6 linked regions of the Rattus norvegicus genome follow. The protein of the gene in region 2 purifies or fractionates together with the protein of the main gene of each other region. This does not show direct contact. Links are inferred from orthologs where the notes say so. Each region holds a gene or a part of one and is shown on either strand. Other genes may lie near its edges.

Region 1 (3,500 bases), on a different chromosome or scaffold from region 2:
CCGTAGGTCCCACGCCCGGCCATCTTATGGAACTGCTGCCAGGTGAGTGGCCCCTGCACGTGCTGGATGTTCTCCCAGGTCCTGCCTGTGCGCTTCTTCTGGATGGCATCTTGTAGGAAGGGCTGCAGGGACAGCAGCATGCGCACCACATCTTGGGATGAGAGCATGCTCGTGTCCAGCACTGTGGGAGGAGAAAAGAGCAGAGGACAAGGATGTCAGGGGAGCATGCCCCCTTCTAGATGCCATCCTGGGTCTGCACTAAAAGAGATGGGCGACCTGGGAGTCAAGAGAAAGGCTCTTCCAAATTGAAGAACCGGTACTTTGCTAACAGGCATAAAGAGGGAAGTAGGTCACACTACTCAGAAGCATTCAACTGAGAAAACTGTGAGAGAAGTAAAGGGATCATGTAAACCTGCTTCCAAGAGTTTCCAGAAGACAGAGGGCCACAAAGTTTCCTTAGTCACCATGTTCCTTTCATTTATACATTACCATTTTGAGGATAAGGGAACAAAAAGGGAGAGACCTAGAAAACCTTGTAAAATATCCATCCTTGAGAAACACTGGATGTTTTATAAAGAGGCCCTATACTATCTACACAGCTCTGAAATGTACCTACTTCTTCCCACCCTAAAGCAAGCTATTATTTATTTCTCCTCATTGCATAACTATTTCTTTTATTAAATTAGCGTAAGTTGGGGCTGGAGAGACAGCTCAGCAGTCACAAGCACTTGTCCTTGCCGAGGACGGGGTCAAGTACCAGCACTGATATGGTGGCTCACAGCCATCTGGAGTTACAGCTCCAGGGAATCCTCTGACCTCTGCTCATCTCTGCAGGGACCAGACATGCACATGGTGCACAGACATACAAGCAGACAAAACATGCATAGACATAAATCTAAATAAAGACAGTTTTATCACATTCGGGTACCAGCACAGAAGTGTAGGTGCCCACAGAGGCCAGTGAGGTCATCAAATCCCCTGGGGCTAGAGCTACAGGCTTATGGGTACTTTGATATGGCTGCTGGGGACTACACTCAGGTCCTTTACTTGGGAGTACAGGCACTTTCCCCCCTGAGGCCAGGTCTTATTATACAGTCCAGACTAGCCTGGAAGTTGCTATGTAGACCAAGGTAGCCTGAAATTCAGGGATTTCCCAGCCTTTGTTCCTATAGCACAAGTACAGGCTCCTAGCAACTGTGTGCCTCTCTAGTCCCAGCCCCAGCAACTGTGTGCCTCTCTAGTCCCAGCCTGCTGGTTTCTATTTGGTTTTCAGTTTCCCCAGATCTGTCCTTCGTGCTTTCTCTCCTCATCCTATAGTCTGGTGAGAATGCAGACTTCTGTCCTTCACTTACTTTCACAAACCTGATGTCACCTAGTGTAACTGTTGCTGCCTGCTCAGGGGCAGCCCTGACCTCCACACATGGGGGTCCTCCCTCGTTTCCATCACTTACAATTTGCTTCCACAGGCTTCCTGTGTGCTTATTTAATATGCAACAGTCACTCTCCTAAATAGATTACGAAGTCCAGGAAGGCAGGTGCCTTCCGCCCTTGGTGTATCCCAGAGCAGCAAAGGAGCAGCCTGGTCAGCATTTGTAGAGCCCAATTCCAAACATGGTTGTCAACTGGAGGTAGGTTTCCTCTCCTCCCCAGGGCTGGGCTCGAGCCCACGAGCTCTACTATGGTCTACATGGGCTGACTGGCAATTTTAAATAGCACAAGCCCCTAGGATGTACCCCTGTAACCACAGCAAAGTCACATGTGGTCACTGATATGTAGCATACTGAGCAACCAACAGGAGAAAATACTCCGGACATGTGTGGTCAGTTCCAGGAAGAGACACCAAGGCAACTGCATACCGTAGGATGACTGGATACCTAGAGATAGGACTGCGGACTATCCTTTTTACACACTACAAGCTACAAGCATGGCTACAAGCGGCCAGAATGCACCCGCTGCTTGTGGTGTAATGGAATGGCAAAGTCTTGGGAGGCAGTTACTCCAAAAGCTTCAGGAGAAGACAGCCCAGCCTCTAGGCAGAGGACACAGCCCAGCCCTCACTTCCAGTCCTTTGGTTATCGTGGGCAGCAAGATAACTTCTGAAAGAAGCCTGCTCTCTGGGATACCTACCATTGCTGTGCGGCCAACAGTGTACGGTGGCACTTCTCACCAGCGCCTCGTCCACTTTCCCGCCTGTGGGGTTATCCACGTACTGCCTCCCCTGCTCCAATGCATTGACGCACTCTGTCCAGTAGTCATTGTTATCTGCCTGCACCCGGTCATAAGTCCAGCTCACACAGGGAAGTGCATGGCGGCTGCTGGAGGAGATGTAATCCAGAAAGCTGAGAGAGGCGAAGGGCTGTGTGTGCTGATTCTGGAGGAGGAGGAGGAGGCTTACGGGGGGCTCTGGGGCTTTCCGGGCGCCCTCCACCTGAGGAAGCAAGGTGGATTGGCAGGAGGTCTGGCACATCATCAGGCGTCTCTCTGCAGCTTGGCCAATGTCAGAGTTCTTCCCAAAAATATCCAGCTCATCTTCGAGGAACAGCCCCGAGTTGTAACCAAGTCTCCGGTTCACGATCGCACTGAAGCCACAGGTGCAACGGTACTGGTCCTCCTTGGAGGAGTCGGGGATGTACAACCCGACATCTGCCCCCTTGACGTTCATGTTGCAGGCGCAAATGCAGCAGCTATCAAAGTTCCTGTCCTTGAAGACATTCATCACGGAATCTGACAGAATCAGGGTGACATAGAGACTGTGGGCCTCAGGAATTGGCTGCATGGTGGCAGGCTCCACAGAGTTAAGGGGCCTTGTGGTAGAGGGGGTGGAAGCCGGTGACCCCTGATCGGTGCTATCGTATTTCACAGACCCTTGGCCACTAGCAGTGCCCCCACCTCTGGGAGTTCTTGGAGTCCTGGGGGTTCGAGGTGTGGGCACAGAGAATCGAGGGGTAGCTGGAGATGGAAGGACCCCGGCTCCACTGTTGCTGGCAGGGGCAGCGCTGTTGAGCGTCACAGGGGTGTTCATCTGGGGTGTGTTCAGATAGTCTGCATCTGCGAGGCTCCCAACACTAGGCACATTGCTGCAACAAACACAAGGTAGCAGTGAGGGTGGAGTGCACAGGCAGAAGCCACCCTGCACATCCCACACCACAGCCCACACTGAGCATCTGCAATTTTCTCTTCAAAAACAAAAGAGAAAAGGAGGGAGAGAGAAAAGGAAAGGGAGAAGCAGAACATGAGCACAGACAGACATACACACACACAGACACACACAGACACACACAGAGACATACACACACATACACAGACACACACACAGACACACACACAGACACACACACAGACATACACACACATACACATACACACACACAGACACACACACAGACACACACACACACACACTTCCTTTCTACATAATCCACACTACACAGTGCTCACCCTGGCCTGCTGGGGAGCTGCTGAGGACTAATGGTGCTCAGAGTGCAGCCCAGACAGTGCAG
Region 2 (4,210 bases):
GCAGGCCTCATCTCTCTTGCTCCCTAAAATAGCATCAAGCACTACTCATTTTCCCGGAGCTTACCAAAATGTAAAAAGAGGGGACTGTAATTTAGAATGACCAGACAATAGAATCCTTTACCATCCAAATCTGTGTCACCTTTGAGAACTACCACTAAAACCTTTTGTTCTGTCAAATGGCTGATTAGTGATGAACATAAAACTAATCCCACTGCCAAATCACCAGAGACGCAAGTGTTAGTGTAAAGCCAGGAATCGTAACCAGACACTGATCCACAAAAATAAAGCCTATCATGGCTTGTTTTACGTGAGAACATGTGGTACAACGGTCTGACAAGATATTTTCATATTCTAGGCGGTTTTTGTTGGTTGGTTTTTGCTTTGGTTTGGTTTCGTTGAGACAGGGTTTCTCTGTGTAGCCTGTCTGGCCTGGAACTCAGACAACTGCCAGTGCTTGCCTAGCTCTAAATGTTTTGTTTGTTTTTTAATTCTACTTTGAAAATATAAAAACTGACCTTATGTATTCTACTTTACCGATTTCACTCAAAGAATAAGTGTATTTGAATCAATATCCTTATTATAGAGACATACTGAAAAATAAGTAGAAATAAGAAGTGTTTCTGTTGTAAACCCAGCCATTCTATGCAATTCAGAATCAGAACTGTTAATTTCTCTCAAAGTTTCAGGGCAAATAAAAACATAAGTGTAAAAACAAAGTTAGCACAGTCTCTGGGAGATAGGGAAAATCCAGACCAACAGTGTAACAACACTGTCCAATCAGAGCAGCGGATCTGCCTTCCCCGAACATCCTGTGTAGATTCCCACTGGAACACCAACTTAACCAGTAGAGTGGATATTCCAAAACCAAAGTGTAAGTCAAGTATAGTGCCTTACAGCGCCCGGTGTGCACTTGGGGACACGTGGTAATTAAAAGAAACAGCTCAGACAACTGAGTGGCCTGGCCTGTACAGTTCTACTGCAACAGCAATTAATCATCATCCTTGAAACCCACACACTACCTGTAGTTTTCCAGGTACATGTATGAAACACTTCATATGATTGTGTTCTGGTTTTCCTCTTATAAAATTAGCAAACGCACTGCTTGCTTTGATGCTGGAGCTCCTCACCAACTTTATCAAAGCACAGCCAAGAAGCACTTTCAATGAGGTGTGCTGATGCTCTGCTTTTCAAATGCTCCAGCAGTCACAGTCTCCCTTTTGTATAGTCTGACAGTTGCTTGAATCTTTTTCTAAGAGAAAGGAATTCCTTCCGGAATTGGGACAAGGTGACAAAACCCACCACTGCCAGGTCACAAGTTTGGTTCCACCTGTCCTGTTCTTACAAACTGGTCTGCCCTCTGGCCCGAGGGGTACATTCTCGATGCTTTATCCAACTTGTCCTTTACTGCTATAACAATCCAGAAAGACTTCCCAAGAGATTCCTATAGATCCCCTCAACTAGGAAAACGGTGGTCCAGGCCCAAGCCTGTCACTTCCGTTTTCTGTTCTTGGTGGTCTAGGTTCTCGATAAACCAAAGCTCACAGCCATTTGACAGAGGATGAGAACTGGAGAATATTAATACTCAAGATTTCTTCCTGAAGAAAAGAGAAATGGGCCGAGTGTGGTGGCATACGCCTTTTAATCACAGTACTTGAGAGGCAGAGGCAGGCGGATCTCTGAGTTGCAGGCTAACCAGGGTGCACAGAGAGAGACCCTATCTTATAAGGGCTGGGGAGGGGTTTACCTAAAATAATCACGAGGCAGGAAAGGTAACCAACCAGAGAGCACTTGAAGTTTGTAATATAGAGCTAATCTCTCTCCAGGGTCCACCTTCAGAGTGCTGAATTCAAAATATTAAAGTGTGGGAATCGGGAGCAGGATCGGGAAGTCCCCAGGTAAACACCAGGGATGTAGGCTGGGTTGGCAACGTCGAGGAAGTCAGACCAGAGGGGCCAGTCAGGACCCCAAGCGCAGGGCCACCAGACGGGAGGCGCCCCCGCGAGCTTTCAAACCGCCGCCCCGGGAAGGCGCTGCGCCGATTGGAAGTTCCACCACGACCGTCACCAGCACAGGGCCAAACCGGTAACTCTTCAGCCAAGCCCTCGAGAGTCCCCCCGGGACCAGACCCCTAAACTCCACCTCCAAGCGCGGTCTCCACCGGGTCCCGCCGCCCGCTGTTAAGCTCGCAACAGTGACTCCAGGCGGGACCGACGCCCCCGACGGGGCTACGCTGTGCGACTTGGAGGGGCGCGACCGGCCAGCGGGGGGCGGCAGCACCAGTGCCTCCGAGTTGGCCCCAGGACGTCGCTCTGCGACCCACGCCGCCTCTTCCCGTGGGCTCCGACCCACCCAGCCCTCCGGGTCTCAGCAGTGGAGGAGACCGGACGAGCCCACTCCCCGCCCGCGCTCTTACCCATCTTTCCGCCTCGCCTTGTAGACGTGCCCGTAGGTGCCGCGTCCCACTTTGCACCCTTCGTACTCAAACAGATCCTCCACCCGCTCCCGCTCCGCCGCCAGCTTCGCCTTGAAATCATAATCCATTGTCTGCTTCCCCCATAGAGAAACCGGGACGCGGGGGCCGCCGCCACTCAGTCCCTCCTCCGCCGCCGCCGCTCCACTTCTCGAACAGCCGTCGCTCGGGCGCGCGCGCGCCGCCCGCCGCTCCGCGGTCTGCCTTCAGCAAGGGACTCCTCGGCGGCCGCGGCAGCCACCTCCTCCGCCTCCTCCTCCTCCGCGGCGGCGGCGGCGGCTCCCGCAGGCACCCACAGTCCCGCCTCCTCCCTTCATTTCCTTGTTTTGGAACCTGGTGGGCCGCGCCGCGGCTTTCTCGAACTCATTAACGAACCAAACGGCCCGCCCCGACGTCGCGAGCGCTCCTGGGAAGTGTAGTTCAAGAGGCCTGGTGAGTTGTGCTACCCCCTCGAGCGCGAAGAATACAATTCCCAGAGTTCATTGAGTCTTTTCGGCCTCGCCTCCACAAGGCGTGTACGCCTGCGCACTGCCGCCGCCCCACCCCCTCAGGTAGCGCGCGACTCCCTGTTCCTGTAAACTGTAGCGCAAAGTTGCAGCGGGCTTTTTGCGAGCCTGTGGGAGCTGGCGGGAAGGAAGCGTTTGTTGAGCCGGGAAGAAGCAACCTGGCTCTGACAATCCTTGGGCTAGAAGAGCGGCAAGCAGCTCATGAGAGCCTTGCTCAGGAGCTCATTCCGTCGCACCCGGAGCTTAGGACTGAGGTTTAGACAGTTGTACTACACATTGTTTGTTTTCTTGGGCAATTGATCCTCTTGTTGCCCCGCCCCTTGCCTCGTCTTATTGGCAGAGACTGAAGAGTGGCGTCCTCTTTGGTGCCTGGGTATCCTCCGGCTTTGGCTTTTGTCCCGCTCTTGATTGGTAATTGGATGTGCTCGGTTCTTCCTGATAGGTTAATCTTGTTTCTTTACGATGCAAAAACCCTATTTCAAAACCTGAACATTCAGCGGTTTCTCAGCTCTTGCTAGGAGAACCGTGTAACTTCTAGGGCCCACAGCCAATCATCTTTTTCTTGGCGCTGTAGTCGGGTTTTATCCTAGCATATGCGGGTGCGGTAGCCGAGCTTTAACCATCTGTCTGAGAACAATTAAAGCGCCTGGAAGATTGCAAAAATGCAGCGTTTTAGAAACAATCATTTTTGCTGGCTTGTAAAGCGTTTTTTACAGTCTGTGCGTAATGGCAAGGCTCACCTAGGGGCTTTAGGTATTTATCTTACTCATGATGTTCATTCGTTATGGTGTCTGAAGCTCGGAACCCGTCACCTCAAAGTAGGACTGTAAAAGCCTGGAAAGTGCCTTGCTAAAAATGTGTCCCTCTGCACACTGATTGCTTTTAAACGAAAAGAATTGATATCCATCTGACACGCACGTTTCAGCTCCCCTCCACTACCTAAAATAAAAGGCAGCATTTTTGTAACAAGGTTAAATTTATAAGGGAAATTTGATAAGGTATCTGTGTCAGAAAGGCAGCTTAGCTATTCGTAGACAACCTTGCCCGGGAGGCCATCTAAAAGAATCGACTTATTATTCCCTCTTCATTTCCTTCCCTCTCTCTTCATTTATCTCTGCTACCTACTAAAATTTCCAATTCTTGTTCCTTTCTGTATGTCTTGAGCTTTAATCATCTAGCTTTTCGACTTCATCGTGTAGGACTCCCATGCATACTAGACCAGGCATGGTGGCAC
Region 3 (3,979 bases), on a different chromosome or scaffold from region 2:
AACCTCACTGTTACAGCAACCCGGTCTCAGTCTCTCGAGTGCTGGAATTACAGGAGTACACGTGCCTGAGCCCTAGTTCTTAAACTCCTGATCGTGTCTGTGAGATTCTATACTGAATTGAGGTGTGGATAAAATAGCTGGCGGGACAATCCCCTTCCCCCTTTCCTGACAATGTGACCAGCCCCTCATGCTCCTGTCACCATGCTTTCTCTGTTGTGATGCTATTTTGGCTCAAATAGTGAGTCAAATCAACCTATCATAAGGTGCCTTTGTTAGGTATCCTGTCACAGGAGTCTGGTGGCTAATGTTCACTGTCACAGAGTCTGCACTAAGAACAAAGAGAAAGCAGGCCTTGGGTGTATCATCCTTGATAAAGAGAAAGAACGGTCTTTGCTAAAACTTCAATTATTTTTGAGGTTTCCAACTTACGCTGTAGCCTTGACATGGAGTGGTACTAATACTGTCAAGCACCAGGTATGTGCAGACTGTGCAGGCAGCACCTGCAGGCAGCACCTGCAGGCAGCACCTGCAGGCAGCACCTGTAGGCAGCACTTGTAGGCAGCACCTGTAGGCCTTCCCATTTGTTCATTTTTCTGAGGCAGGGTCTCACTATGCAGCTCCTCCGGCTCTCCTGGAACTCACTATGTAGACCAGGATGGCCTGAAATTCACAGGAATTTGCCTGCCTCTGCCTCTGCCTCTCAAATGCTGGGATCAAAGGCATGAGCCTTCAGATTATCTGACTGAATCTTCCAAAGGCCCCAGGAAAGGTCCTGTCCAGTACCAACTTATTGCAAACAGGGAAACTCCAAATCTAAACAATCTGTGCAAGGTCAACCTGGCTGTTCAGCTGTACTCTTTAACCATCCTCCTAGGGATGTGGTGACCAGTGAGTGAGAGTGTGTGTGTGTGTGTGTGTGTGTGTGTGTGTTTTCTCTTTTTTTGGTAGTGGTTGCTTGTTTTCAGGACAGGGTTTCTCTGAGTAACCCTGGCTGTCCTGGAACTCACTCTGTACACTGGCCTTGAACTCAGAGATCTGGCCGCCTCTGCTTACTGAGCGCTGGAACTAAAGGCCTGTGCCACCATACCTCTGGCAAGGTAGCAATCTGCTAAATTATTTAAAAGAGACTGATTGTTTACTTGTTTGTTGGTTGGTGACAGGGGACTCACACTGAAGCCAATACTGATCTGAAATGAACCACATGAGCCCAAGCTGACCTTATGACCTTACACTTTCATCAATCCTTCTGCCACTTAACCTCCATATGCTGGGATCATAGGAGTGCGCTTGGCGGAGACCTATTCTTTGAACAGTGATTAAATAATAACACTGATGGTATTTAACTGCATGAAAAAGTCAAAGCTTTTCCTAAACAACTGTTTTAAGATCCTTGTGTTGATTTATGATCGAATAGAAAAATCTATTAAGGGAGAGCCCCACTGTCATTAAAAACTGTTCCAATTACCAAACTGACACACTGTGACACACATTCCAAGATTCTGAGAAAGTGGAACTGATACTAGAAAGCAAGAAGCCCTTTTCCCAGGGACTGCCTTCTCTATACAAAGACGCAGGGTGGGCAGGCATTGGTGGAGCACTCCTGTAATCCCTGGTGCAGGAGGCAAAGGCACGGGAGTCTAAGTTACATACACAGCCCAGAAAGGTGGCATTGGGGGATCTCAAATGACTCTGCTGTGATCTATTTTCACTGTGGCAGAGATGAGGCTCCTGGTGTCAACTTTGGCAAGCGCAGTTACTAAGGAGCCTACAAGAGCTCTCCTTTCCAGAGCAGACCTGTGGCCCCTGACTTCCTGTACAATGGCCCCCAAGCTTCTTTAATCGGAAAGAAGCGCACCAGTACCAAGATTTTAAGTGCTGAGGTCTAGTACTTTGAAATTAATACCCACAAAAGCACGGTGCCCAAACCTTACCGACTGCCTCTTTTTTTTTTTCAAGTGAGACTTAAGACATGTTTAAGATAAAAGTCGATCAAAACTGTCTCAAGCCCAAGTGCTGGTGGCAAATGCCATCACCAAAGCACTCAAGAGGCAGAGGTGGGCAGATCTCGGTGAGTTTGAGTCCAGCCTGATCTACAGGCCTCCCAAAGCTACTCACAAAGAAAACCCTGCTCAAAAAACTGTCTCAAATACGTTAGGGAGTGGTTCATGAATAGTTAATATGCCTGGTACCCCGATCTCCAAACTCCCAACAGCTCCTTTCCCCTACCTTTGTCACTAGCCCCAATATCTTAAAGTGGCCAGTTCAAAGTCAGGTGCTATAACTGCAAGCAGAATACACAAGTCACTTTCTCCTCGCGCCCCTTTTTATCCCTTCCTCCGAATATCTCCTAGTCTAGAAACCTTATTTCTAACCGCTGGATTCTAGTTGCGACGGGACAAGGCCTCAAGGACAGAAAGAGGTACCGAGAAAAAGAAGGTCCAACAACTCTTGGCGGGTTCTTGGGATGAAGTGCTTGCTTTGCCAAATTGTTATGCCTGGGAAGGGAGAACCCGCACTCGGGTGTCCCCTGATCCACACAACCCCAGGACATCTTGGTCAGCCCTCGAGGAACCGAGAACCTCGGTCAAAATCCCCCTCCCCGGGCCATTACAGGCTCACAGACACCTTCACGACCCCACAGCCCCCCCCCCGCAGAAGCCCTTCAAGTCCTACCACGTCACTCCCATGGCGAAGGGTCAAAAGGTGGTACTGCCAAATACTCAAACTCAGAGAATCCAGACCTTCCCACGAGAGGCAGCCCCCTAAACACAGGAAGCGGTCGTTGACCGGCCTCCGGAAATGCGTAAATACTGAGCGCCAGGACGACACGCCCACAGGGAGAGGCATCTCTGGATACACCAGCGGTGACATTTCTAGTACGTCATCGACCCGGCTCCGCCCCCAAAACATACAAGGGGTTGACAACACGCCCTAGGCTACTTTCATGAATTCTGGAAAAGGTGACTCGAACATCCACCTCTTTCAGTGAGATTATCTGAGAATTTGGAGACTCCTGCTCCAAGCCCCGAAGCTCTTCTAGAGATGGCGATATATGAGGAACTTCCGGCCTCCGAACGCTGGGGGGCACTGTGATGCCTCAGTGACCTCTTGGAGACCGGAATACAAGGCGCAAGCGCAGTCTCGTCTCTTAGCCGGCTTCACACGTGTAAACTTTGTGGGCAAGTTTTTCGACAAAAATGCCCAAATTAAAGGTGACACGTGGGGCCAGAAATCAAGAGAGACATGCACCTCTGGCGGAGCAGATTCTGGCTGGGGACGCAGTGCGTGCGGGGACCCGAGAAAAACGGCGGAGACACGGGGTCGAAGAGGAGGAAGAGTATGTGGGACCCCGGTTGAGCAGACGGATTTTGCAACAAGCCCGGCAGCAGCAGGAGGAGCTCGAGACTGAACACGCGACTGGAGATCGGCCGGCAAAACCGCGAGAGCGCGCCACGCGGCTGGGTGAGTGACAAGGGGTGGAGTGGTGAGTTGGGCCGGTCTGATACTCTCCATCGGAATACTGGGTTAGAATTAAAAAGAGTAGGCGGCTTAACTTTCCCGCGTGGTCCTTCACTTCCACTCCTGGGTTTCGGGATCCAGACTTAAGCCAACAGAATGTGATCTCTCACACCAGTTCTAGCATTTATTTATTCTCTGTGCGTTTGAAGTATCTGTGGGCTGCCTGCATAGTGCTTTGAGCTGTGTTAAGTTTTTAGGCAGTTCTGATCCAGAAATAAGATCTTCATCACTCCTGATGGCACCGGAAGTGTAGCTCAAGGCACACATTAAATAGATAATTAGAGTAATATATTCCAGGCAGGAGTGGCGATGCTCACCTGTAATGCCAGCACTCCAGAAGCAAGGCAGAAGGCCTCCTTGAGTACATAGTAAATTCCAGATTAACCTCGACTACATTACATGATAGAACCCTATCTCTCAAGAGAGGGGGAAAGATATTTCTGTTTAAACAAAAACAGAT
Region 4 (3,023 bases), on a different chromosome or scaffold from region 2:
CCTGGTCTTGCCAGCTGTGGACATTTGTGTGATTGTGTGACATCTGGATTCTGGGGACTTTTCAGAGGGCACGTAAATGCTAGGTGGCTGGTGGCTGGTGGCGAGTGAGTTGCTGGCTGTTGAGTAGTCCTGTGCAAAGAAGTTAGACTTCACGATGGCAAAGGTCAAACTCCCCCAAGGGACTCACTCAATGCTTTTCCACAGGAAGTAGTGTAACAACAACGTTACCCCTTATCCCTATTAGTGGTAGGGGTTGAAAGGGTAGAAGAAAGCAGCAGCCACAAACAGCAGCGCCCCCCGTGGAGGAGGCCATTGCCCTGCGCTAGCCTGGCCTCCCGAAGCTGCAGGGACATGCCTGAAGGCAGGACCCCTCCTCTGGGGACCAACAGCAAAGGCCACAGACACCAGGAGATGGAGGCCAGCAGTCACTCAGCTTCCCTATTTGTGGGCATCTCAGCAAGAGGTGGGCAGTGATGGGGACTACGGTGACAGCATAAGCCTGGGGTACAAGAGAACTTTATTGGGCTAGTCTTCCCCTCCCATAGGTCCCAAAGGGAAACTGAGGCAGATACCCCAATCAGGACAGGGGCATATGGGCTGTGGTGTTTTAAAGGATGAACACAGAGCAGCCCAGCTCCTTCAAGCTGGGCTGGATAAAACCATGGGACTGGAGACGCACACGCCCCGAGAAGGGGCAGACCCAGGCTGCTGCCGGTGCCAGTGCCCCAGTGAGGATGTCAATGTTTCATCACAGACAGTCCCCTGCATCTGTTCAGAGAGTGGCTGTACATACGCAGACTGGCGGGCTGTGGCTCAGGAACAGCTGAGAGGCACTCTCCGCCACAGCCCACCACACAGGCAATTCTTGATCCACCGCTGTTCCCACTGTTTCACAGCAGTTGTCTTGTTGGGTGACTTCAGCATGGTGACACAGCCACACCTGGGGAACCAGGGACTGTTGCCTGTACTGTGGGGGAGACGGTATGCCCCCAGACCCTAGCCTGCTCAAGCCAGGTAGGACACAAGGCCACAACCAAGGCCCTCCCCAAGCCCCTACCCCACAGATCGCAGGCTGTCTTGTGTGCCCAGGAGGGAAGCGGAGGCCCCTGGCCATGGCTGGCAGCTCTCACCTGGTGCAGGCTTTGCACTCCTCCGTGGGGTAGGCACCCAGGTGTAGCCTCCGAAGGTGGTCGATCTTGGGCTGCCCAGGGGCCCTGGGGATGAGAGGGGAGGGAGGGGCGTGGGACCTGGGTCAGCCAGGCAGCCGAGGGTGGCTTCTGGTGTGTGACCCTTGGGGCTCAACCATAAGAAACAGCTGATGGCTTTTTCCTGGTGAGATAGGGCTTGTGCTTCCAGAACCTTCCAAATGTGGCTGATGGGACAGTGGACACACAGGAGGGGTTAATGGCTTTGCTGTGGGAGGGGCGTGGCAGTCCTTTATCTGTAAATGCTGGCCTGGAACGAGTGAGGGCTCCATTACAGCTTGGGCACATCAGTGGGAGGGAAGAAAATGGATTCTACACGCAGAGGTGTGAGTCAGAGGTGGAGGCTGGTGGGTCAGATTCCTCCCACACAGCAGGTATGAGGCCAGCCTGGGCTACAGGGCGAGTTCCAGGCTGCCAGGGCAACCCTCTGTCAAAAACTAACAAAAACCATCTCTACACACAGAGCGAAGCTAGAGTACAAAGACCCGATGAAGCAGAAGGTGGTTAGGGGAGACACCAGGCCCTAGAAGTTGCAGGAGTCTCTGTAGGAGAGAGCCTCAAGGGAAGCTGTGGTGTGGAGACCTTCCGGGGCGGGGCGGCACGTGCGGGGCGGGGGGGGTGAGGGAGGCGGGGCAGCACGTGCGTGCGGGGGATGAGGAAGGATGAGTGGGCAGTGCATACCTGGTGAGGCCGTCCAGCTGCAGGATGGAGGTGCTGCTGGGCAGGGTGGGTGCCCTGCCGAAGCGCAGGCGCAAGGGCTGTTTGGGCTGCAGGCGACTGACCAGGCCGTCACTGGCAGGAAGCCAGTCCAGGCTGGGGACCAGCAGCTGGCTGGGCAGCAGGCAGCATTCGTCCACCAAGCCCTCATCGGGCTCACTGGCTGGGCCTTCGTCACGGCCTGTGGGGAGGGTCAGGGGTCACTACACTGATATGACCGAGTGGTACCCACTACAGCATCCCTGGGGCTCTGTCCTCAGACGTCCTAACTGAATGAGGGGTGTGCACCCTAGGATCAAGGGCTTAAATTCTGGAGGTAGGCTGAGGGAAGATGCTAGCAGGGGGCACTGTAATGCCTTACAGCAAATCCACAGCTTGGTGAGCAGCCGGAAGAGCAGGGACATGCTGTCCTGGGTGTCTGAGGTGGCTGTATAGACGGGCAGGCAACTGGGCTTCAGTAGGCCCCATATTCGGATGACAACCATCAATTCCCGCAGCATACCCAGTGAGGCACCATCCCGGAGGAAGCTGTGGCCCGGCCTCAGTGCGGAGCCCTGTAGGTGGGGACACTGGGGGTGAGGGCAGGATGTGAGCAGCCCCCAACTATGGTATGGGTCAGTCACAGCTAGCCCTCGAACCTTGGTGAAGTCAGGGGACACATGTGACTTCAGCACAGGGCCATGGCTGGCAGAGTCGGGGAGGCCAGAACTGTGCTCAGCACCCTATAGACCGAGACACAGAAAAAGGCCAGTCCAGCGTCTGCGCTGCTCCCAGCCTGACCCTGGCTGACCTCCTACAGAACCAAAGAAGCCAGGGGCTGGACTTATGACCCTGCAGCCTGAGGCTTTTGAAGCTTAGAAGCCTCAAATGACCCGGGGACAGACAGGAAGATGGAGTCACTTTTTGACGGCTCCCATAGACAGACAGGAGCTGTGGGGTGTAGCTAGTGCTACCTTAGTGAGAAACAAAGACAGCAGCTCACTGACATATAGGCTAGGACTGGGAGACTGGAGGGGAAACTCCGGGGGCGGGGCTGAGCTCCGAGGCTCCACCTGGTTGGGCAGGCTGCCCAGTGGGCGGGGCCGAGACAGGGGCGGGGCT
Region 5 (3,993 bases), on a different chromosome or scaffold from region 2:
AGCCTGATCAACACAAGTACAATGTTCAGTACAAGTTCGTTGTGGGTTCAGACCATATTATCTTCAAGCTTCCTGATGGGAAGTATAAAAATTGAGAACTTGTTGGCCAGCAAAGACAACAGGTGTGCTAATTTCACCCTAGGGAGACAGGTAATCCTGGCAAAGGAGGAAGAAGTGAAGAGAAAAATAAGGCAAAGCTATGGCTTTATGAAGATCTGATTAGTCCCTTGTTAGACTAATGGGATAGAGCAGGGAAGGTGCAGAAAGTTGCACACAAAGATGGCCTTCCAAAAAGGTCTGCCCTCTGTCTACTTTGTGATAGCATGAGTTATGGTTCCAACATTCAAGTATAAATTCCCATTGTACAATTTCTGCAACTGACAGTGGACAATGGCAGGCTCCTTTTTACTGTAGAATCACCACTTACACATACTTAGTCACGGACTCCCAGGTACCATGTCTTCTTTACAATACCTGCTCTGGTCCTACGGCCTGCTGTGTCCTGGCTCTTAACTCTATTCACCCAAGACTACAGGTTGTTGCTTAACTGAATCAGGCTTTAAAATGCTGAATCGCCATGTTCACTGCAGTGAGGATAACAGAAGTGAGAACCATGAGACATGTCTAGTGTCTAACTACACACCCAAGTCGAGGTGTGCAAACCTTGTCTATGAAGGAAATTCTGAGAACACGGAACAGCCTCACTTGGAAATCCTACGATTATTTTTAATCTCTTCGAGCCCTTCTCACCTGTTAAAGAGCACTCATATGATCGTTCAGTAAGATCTGTTCTGCTTGTTTAAAAAATGATGTTAGCATTAAGGACTCACACATTGTAGATAACCTGACAAATGTAAATAAAGCATTCAAAGTGGGAAAACAAGCAGCAGAGTCCACTGCGGGTTTGCAGAGGACTTTATTTACTGTTATTTTTAAACAATTTTTTAAACTGCCCTAAGCATGATGGTTGTTGAGTCCTAATGATTGAGAAGCATGATAGCTGTGAGTTCAAGGCCCATTTGAACTACATGGGCCAGCCTGTGCTAAAGATCCATCTTTAAAAACCAAGAAAATATTTTAAAAATATATAAAATTGGGAGTAAGATATGGTAGTGGTCTGCAAGATATTAGACGAGTGAGGAAGCAAGCATGATCAAAACACACATGTTTGTGTGTGTGTATAAAATTCTCAAAGAACAAACATATATTCTGAAAACTAAGAGAAAAGGGTCTGTATTGGGGGGCTTATACATGGTATATGATATACTTCTTTTTCATGCCTGACTCCTTTTGGTAGGCATACGTTGAAACCTACTCTGGGAAAGAACAGTTATATACAAAGTCATATGCCTTATTTATTTCTCTTTTCCATAATCAAACTACATATGGTGTCTATCAATCTCACTTTGCTTTCTACTGTACAGTGATTTCCAAAACCAAACACTTAAGATTCTCTATACGTCTTGACAAAAATCACTTGTTAAATTTCATACTTCTAGAATTTTCCAAGGTTTCTGAGGGAAGCCTCATCTTACAAACATCTTATAGTACAGTTTTATTGACAATTGGCATTTTAACATCTTTTCTACATAAATTTAACACCTAAGTCCCAACACTGCAACATATATGGTCAAAATACCCTCTGCTTTTCCAATTTGAGTTTAAGTACATTATACAATGAGAAGATTCTTGAGCGCTTTTTCACACTGAGATTCAAGGTAACAGGGGAAAGTAACATACAGGTTCCGTACACCTGGAATACATTAAATCTGAGGGAAGTCACTTCAAATTCTTCAGGTCGTCCAACTCAACTATTTCAGGGTATATATACCTAAGATACTAGTGTCTATTTGCAGTCACATCAAGTCAACACCCAGCCTAAATTTCGTCCCCTGAGGGCTTTTGAAGATGAGATCTGCGCTTCCCTTAGCCACACCCATACTAAATTCCCATTTCCCAAAGGTTTCTAATAAGTGACCGGCATCCTCACTTCTATCTTCCTAACGGCACAACTATTCCCAATTTGATTTTAGAAACAAGAAGCCAGTTTCCAATGTGCAGAAGTGGGTAAAATGTATAACGGGAATTTGTACTCCGTTTTTGTTTTGTTTTGTTTGGCTGTTTCGTTTTGTTGCGCGGAAGTGCAAACCCCGATAACTCAAGCATCCCGTTTTAGAGCCTGCCACCTTACAAAAACCGCCCTCACCGGTTTAAACTGAACTTTTCAGAGCCGCTGGATGTCCTCACTTGCTAACACTAACAAAATTCAGTTTCTAGCATTTGCTTGGGGGGCGGGGGGGGGGAGTGGTCGCAAGCTCAGACACTTGGCTCACTTGGTCCCTGTCCCTCGTAAAGTCTGGTACAGGATAAGATCCGCCCGAGGCTCTCCCTCCCCTCCCCCAGCCTCCGCGCTCCCAGGTGGCTACTATCATTTTACTAATGCCGACAGGGCAGGCTAAGGCCACGACACTTTAAAAGCCCGTGGCGTGGGGACGAGAACTCGGACCTCCCAACCTCCGGTCCGGCTCGTCGTCCGGTCCGCGAGACGCCCGGAGCGAGCCGCACTCCGCGCACCTTCGGCCAGCCGCCTGCCTCAGGCCCCGGGGAGGCTCCGCTGAGGGACGTGGGAGGAAGGCGAGCCCGGGCTTCCCAGGTTGTCCCGCGCCGGACCTCGGCGTGGCGCCGGGAAAGACGCAACCGCGGGGGCGGAGAGACAGACTCTGGCTGCGGTCGCCAAACGCCGCGCCGGCTCACCTCAGCTCTAGCTTTTCCCGTAGCGACTTTTTCCTCAGCGCAGCGGAAGCACAAGTTCCGGTTGCCTTCTCAGGAAGAAGCCTCTGACGCGGGCCTTTAATTGGCTACGAAGCCTGTCCTATAGCAGGTCCTACTCCCGCCCTAAAGATACTGCGCATGCGCACTCCCGCGTCTCCCGCTTCTCCCGGGAAAAGATCTCTTGTCTATCTTCTTGGTCAGGTCAGGAGAGTGTTTCTTCATACTTCTTGTTAGTAAAAGAAAGTACTCTCTAGTAATTCGACTCCTCGCCGCCCACCCCCTTTATATAAGACTCTTAAAATTAAATATTTGCCTTATATAAGTCAGAAAATACAGATAAGCAATATTTAAAAATATCAATGCTAACCTTATCATCAAAAAAAATTTTTTTAAAGCAAGTTGTACTCCATGATATATTCATACATACATGGGGATATTTGGGAACATGATTAAGACTAACATCCTACACCTTCATTTTCCCCCTTCCGTTCACTTTTATTTTCATTTAGGAATTCAAAGATGTATATGACAATTCTTCCACAAACCGACAAGTAAAAAAAAAAATTAATGTAATTTTTAAAATTAGAAGGAGTGGGCAATTTCACTGTGTAGCCCAGGCTACACATGGTTTCAAATGTCTCTTCCGAGCCTCAGGAAAGCCAGAGGTTCAGAAATGAGCCATCAGGACCAGCAAGAAAACTTTCCATTTAGGCCTTCCCCCACCACACATATAAAAGAATTGTTAACAGATGTCCTAACTCATGGGAGTCTTAAGAACGCTTGTTGCAAATTAAAAGTGAGATAAGACTGTTCTGCTAAAACAGCTCTGCTTCAGAGACAAGAATGTCCCAGTTTCTTCCTTTAAATATGTGAAGAATTGCAGGCATAAAAGCGAAAGAACAGTCTACTCATCACCAACTTCCACAGCTATATGCTCCCCATCAGTTCGCCTCTAGTCCAGTATGAGCCTCTCAAAGGTAAGGGCTCTTCGCTTTTTCCCATGCCCATAGCATTACTATCTTACTGAAAGTGTACCAGGGGTTGTTACACTGATCAAATGAGTGTGTGTTCACACATGGATATATATGTCATATAACTTATTAGAGTGGCTTACAAGATGCAGTTCAACTAGTCCAACAATGGCTGCCTCCAACCTGAAAGGCTGAGAATCCCGTAGCTGCTCAGTCTAAGGGGCTGGATGTCTCAGCAGACCCCACCTGG
Region 6 (3,500 bases), on a different chromosome or scaffold from region 2:
AGAGCTTGTGATTTTCATAAAAATGGACCGAGCTGGAGATTTTCATATTAAATGAGCTAAGCCAGTCTCAAAAGGGAACAAATCCCACATCCCCCCGCCCCCACACCAAAATGTAGAGTGGAAAATGAGAAGCTTTGCATCTGTCACCCATGAGAGTTTGTTAGCACAGACACTCCTCAGGAAACTCTATATCAGAGAGCTGATAGTATTCTTAGTAACGTTTCTAGGTGTATCGTTTGGCCATGGGTAAATCCCATCCTAGGTGCCCGTGACCCAGTCTTTTCCTTACATCCCCCACTCACATCGATGCGTGAGCTCGATTTTGTCTTACGCTTCCTTCCCTTTGTCTTCTTCTCTTCATCTGCTGCAGATTTTCCGTGATCTGACAGCTCGGCTGATTTCCTTTCTGGTTCCTGAGAAACTGGAGATGTGGGTTCTTCCTCTTCCTCCTCAGGAGGTAGGGGCAGTGGCTCGAGGTAGTAGCTTCGGGGCTTGGGCATGGTGTGTGTGTGGTATAGAAGGAAGTGGTGCTGCTCCTCATACTTGATAACCCTCCGGTCTACACGGACAGTGCCGAACCAGGCCCAGGACAGAGGAGCTGGGTTCTTCTGACCCTCAAACAGGTCCCATGGGGACACTTTCTGCTTCGTAGAGACCTGGAGACCCTATGGGAAAAGAACGTTCTGTGACAACACAACCTGGCCTGTCCCCAGCTCGCAGGGCAAACTTGCACGTATGTGGTTGGAATGGGCTTGGGGAACTCAGCAGACAGGAACGCTCATTTAAGATGTAGGGACTGGGGCTCAGAACTTTGGAAGCCCGTTTCTCCAGTCCTCTGTATCCCTTGAGGCATCTAAAGGTAGTCTACAATATTTTAGTATAAAATGACATTTTCATTCAAGTATGCTGTAGAAAATATAATTCTCAAGCACCTTTGTGAAGTTGGTGTTAAAATACTAAATTATAACCATCTTAGGAATCCATTATTTTTAGTATTTACAAGATTTAAAAGTCAATAAATAGTTTGCCTCTGATTGGACTCATATTCACTTCAATCCAACCTACATGGACTTCATTTTAGTCTGTATTTCATGTATATGTACGTGGCCTTCTCTGAATAAAGTATTTTCAGAGAACTTAATTACAGCAGCAGGTATAACACAAATTAAATCTTTCCCTTTCCATTCCAAGTTATCTTTACTGGATCCAGGTAAGATAATCTCGTTTCTCAAAGACAGAATGCTCTTACTTGTAATACTAATTGGTCACATTTCTTGGTAACTTCTCCAGCATACCAATTTAAAGCCATTTCTCCTCAAAAGACAGCCAGGGTACATACCCCCCCTCCCCCTGCATGTGAACTGATCTGCTCTTGTCTGTCTTCCTCTTTGAGAGCGGCTTCTTCTAACACCACAGGTAATGTCATCGCCCCCTGCTGTCTGCTGTATGATGAAATCCTTCTGAGTACAACTCACAGCTAAATGGAACCTGGATGGCTTCTGCTGGAAGCCCAAGTCACCTGACTGTGACTTCTCCTTTTTCCCTCCCAAAGCCACACTGCTGTGGCATTGGGGCTAACACTGAATTCTGGTGGCAAGGCTTTTCATCTCACCAATCGTCATCTTTCTTCCCTTTTCTTAAACTTACACCTGGTCCAACACTTTTCTGAATAACTATCGTAGGAACCCGGTTGTGACTACCTCTCCCTGTGTGACTTAAGGGGTCCCCGCCAGTGCCTCCTAATCCTCTCTGGACCAAGACCTGCACATCCCATAGCATTTGAAAGTGCATCTACCTCCTACTGAGGGCACTAATTCCCTCCACCATCTACCTCTGCTACTGCAGTGCCAATGGCTACTCGGTGCTCTTTGACAGAAAGGCTGGCCATTCTGTTATTTTAAGAACCCTCTAAAGTGTCTTATATAAAGCAAATGCCCATCTATACTGCTGCTTGGAGACTATGTACTGTTGTAACCCAAGTTTTACTTAATACTGATTACTCAGCACTTGAAAATTCTTATCAACCCACATCCTCTTATATACATATTTTGTTTCCTATCCTGACATAAAGTAATAATTGTATTTTATTTTTTATGCTAAGCTGCTACTTAAACTTCTTGGTAGATTCTAGGAATTTCCTTAAGTCCAGATAAGCATTTTAAATGGAGATCTTCAAAGACAATGGCTTTTTTAGGAATGCCAATAGCTACTATGCTCTGATGACAAAAACAAACCCTCGAAAATTAAGAGATTCAATTAATATGTTTTGTGTTTCCTCAAAGAAGGTAGGAAATGTCATTTGGCTTCTATAACTAGATATATTTATATACAAAGAAAAAAACATTTACTCTTGCCTGTTTTTTATCAATGGAGTCAAATCCAGCAATTTTGTTTCCCTTCGTATCAATCAAAGAACCCATGGGCTCACAGGTGATGACATCACAAGTCTGCTTTGGCAAAGGCAGCAACTGTCGAACTTTGTCAATGCTTTCTGACCTCTTGTCTCCTAGTTCTTTCTAGAAGAAAAAGGAAGAAAAAAATATAAAAGCAAGAGAGAAGTGAAGCAAAAATTCTGACTTTACAATAAAGCAAAAGCTAACAAGAAGGAAGTTCCCAGTGACACATTTCCTTTTTTTAAGCTGGTATGTCTTTAGTCCTTAGCGCAGTCTATGGAGCAGCTGCAAATTGGACTGGTGAAATGTTTCATTTCTTCTATTCACATAGAAAATCAGAGTGCACACAAAGGCAGGCTTGTTCTACATGACAAGTCAGAGTGCTGAGATGACAAAACGCCAGTGCTATTTGCTGTCACACAGCAGGAGCTGCCGCACGGACACTTTCCCGTACCCAGGGTCAGACTGCAAGGTAAACATCAGCTATTTTACTGTCAAGTCTTCAGACTGTGTGTTTGCAATGTCTATTTGCCGTTTAGTTCAAGTAACATTAGTGGGTTATCAAATGAGTCAGATTTACAAACTCAATGAAGAGATCCTTTTCTCCACTTGCATGTATAAATCCAAGCATGGGTTTAACGGAAATCTGAGGTTTGGTTAGATATCGGATAATGCGTTTTTAAATTCCTTAAAAATTAAAACATGCTTTATTTGAGTATACTTTTTCAGAGAAAAGTCCTTCAGATATTGTAATTTCGAAGGACTGACAGCCCATGTAAGATAACCACAATCTGTTGAATCAACTATGCATGTAAATTAATGAGCAGGAATTCAGACAATAATCCACAAACAACTTGATTTCAGAATAGAGGCTGATCACAAGCTTACTTTCAGTTTCTTTACTAAATTCATGTATGCACGTTTGTTCTCTTCTGATCCCCCGGGGGAAGCAGTTGATAGGTCAGAAGCCAGCGTCCCATTGATTAAAACACCCAGCATGTCAAGAACCGTTGTGAATAATTCACTGAGAGGAAAGAAAAAACCCATTTTATTCTTAAAAGCAAAACCAGGACATACATAATTATCTAAGCATTTCTACTGAAAGGG

What was found.
Region 1: the proteins of Cdk19 (region 2) and Med13l purify together in Homo sapiens (affinity purification with mass spectrometry; 5 studies listed by BioGRID and IntAct, counting the BioPlex papers as one, with this or other methods). This does not show direct contact. The link is inferred for Rattus norvegicus from reciprocal best matches to the Homo sapiens genes CDK19 and MED13L.
Region 3: the proteins of Cdk19 (region 2) and Med20 purify together in Homo sapiens (affinity purification with mass spectrometry; 5 studies listed by BioGRID and IntAct, counting the BioPlex papers as one, with this or other methods). This does not show direct contact. The link is inferred for Rattus norvegicus from reciprocal best matches to the Homo sapiens genes CDK19 and MED20.
Region 4: the proteins of Cdk19 (region 2) and Med16 purify together in Homo sapiens (affinity purification with mass spectrometry; 6 studies listed by BioGRID and IntAct, counting the BioPlex papers as one, with this or other methods). This does not show direct contact. The link is inferred for Rattus norvegicus from reciprocal best matches to the Homo sapiens genes CDK19 and MED16.
Region 5: the proteins of Cdk19 (region 2) and Med7 purify together in Homo sapiens (affinity purification with mass spectrometry; 5 studies listed by BioGRID and IntAct, counting the BioPlex papers as one, with this or other methods). This does not show direct contact. The link is inferred for Rattus norvegicus from reciprocal best matches to the Homo sapiens genes CDK19 and MED7.
Region 6: the proteins of Cdk19 (region 2) and Med12l purify together in Homo sapiens (affinity purification with mass spectrometry; 3 studies listed by BioGRID and IntAct, counting the BioPlex papers as one, with this or other methods). This does not show direct contact. The link is inferred for Rattus norvegicus from reciprocal best matches to the Homo sapiens genes CDK19 and MED12L.

The regions. Positions count from the first base shown.
Region 1 is NC_086030.1:43,487,820-43,491,319, forward strand, and holds part of Med13l (mediator of RNA polymerase II transcription subunit 13-like), read right to left. Parts: intron 3,078-3,500; coding exon 2,128-3,077; intron 182-2,127; coding exon 2-181; intron 1-1. UniProt on the Homo sapiens protein: Component of the Mediator complex, a coactivator involved in the regulated transcription of nearly all RNA polymerase II-dependent genes.
Region 2 is NC_086038.1:45,323,501-45,327,710, reverse strand, and holds the start of Cdk19 (cyclin-dependent kinase 19), read right to left. Parts: upstream 2,801-4,210; 5' UTR 2,542-2,800; coding exon 2,414-2,541; intron 1-2,413.
Region 3 is NC_086027.1:20,877,212-20,881,190, forward strand, and holds the start of Med20 (mediator of RNA polymerase II transcription subunit 20), read right to left. Parts: upstream 2,801-3,979; 5' UTR 2,688-2,800; coding exon 2,674-2,687; intron 1-2,673. Other genes in the region: Bysl (bystin), read left to right, coding at 3,198-3,462. UniProt on the Homo sapiens protein: Component of the Mediator complex, a coactivator involved in the regulated transcription of nearly all RNA polymerase II-dependent genes.
Region 4 is NC_086025.1:10,459,273-10,462,295, reverse strand, and holds the end of Med16 (mediator of RNA polymerase II transcription subunit 16), read right to left. Parts: coding exon of another isoform or gene 2,975-3,023; intron 2,645-2,974; coding exon 2,561-2,644; intron 2,492-2,560; coding exon of another isoform or gene 2,477-2,491; coding exon 2,284-2,476; coding exon of another isoform or gene 2,279-2,283; intron 2,104-2,278; coding exon 1,887-2,103; intron 1,215-1,886; coding exon 1,131-1,214; intron 941-1,130; coding exon 814-940; 3' UTR 501-813; downstream 1-500. UniProt on the Homo sapiens protein: Component of the Mediator complex, a coactivator involved in the regulated transcription of nearly all RNA polymerase II-dependent genes.
Region 5 is NC_086028.1:31,353,844-31,357,836, reverse strand, and holds the start of Med7 (mediator of RNA polymerase II transcription subunit 7), read right to left. Parts: upstream 2,801-3,993; 5' UTR 2,755-2,800; exon of another isoform or gene 2,207-2,754; intron 157-2,206; 5' UTR 1-156. UniProt on the Homo sapiens protein: Component of the Mediator complex, a coactivator involved in the regulated transcription of nearly all RNA polymerase II-dependent genes.
Region 6 is NC_086020.1:145,672,318-145,675,817, reverse strand, and holds part of Med12l (mediator of RNA polymerase II transcription subunit 12-like protein), read right to left. Parts: intron 3,418-3,500; coding exon 3,282-3,417; intron 2,866-3,281; exon of another isoform or gene 2,624-2,865; intron 2,517-2,623; coding exon 2,355-2,516; intron 666-2,354; coding exon 303-665; intron 1-302. UniProt on the Homo sapiens protein: May be a component of the Mediator complex, a coactivator involved in the regulated transcription of nearly all RNA polymerase II-dependent genes.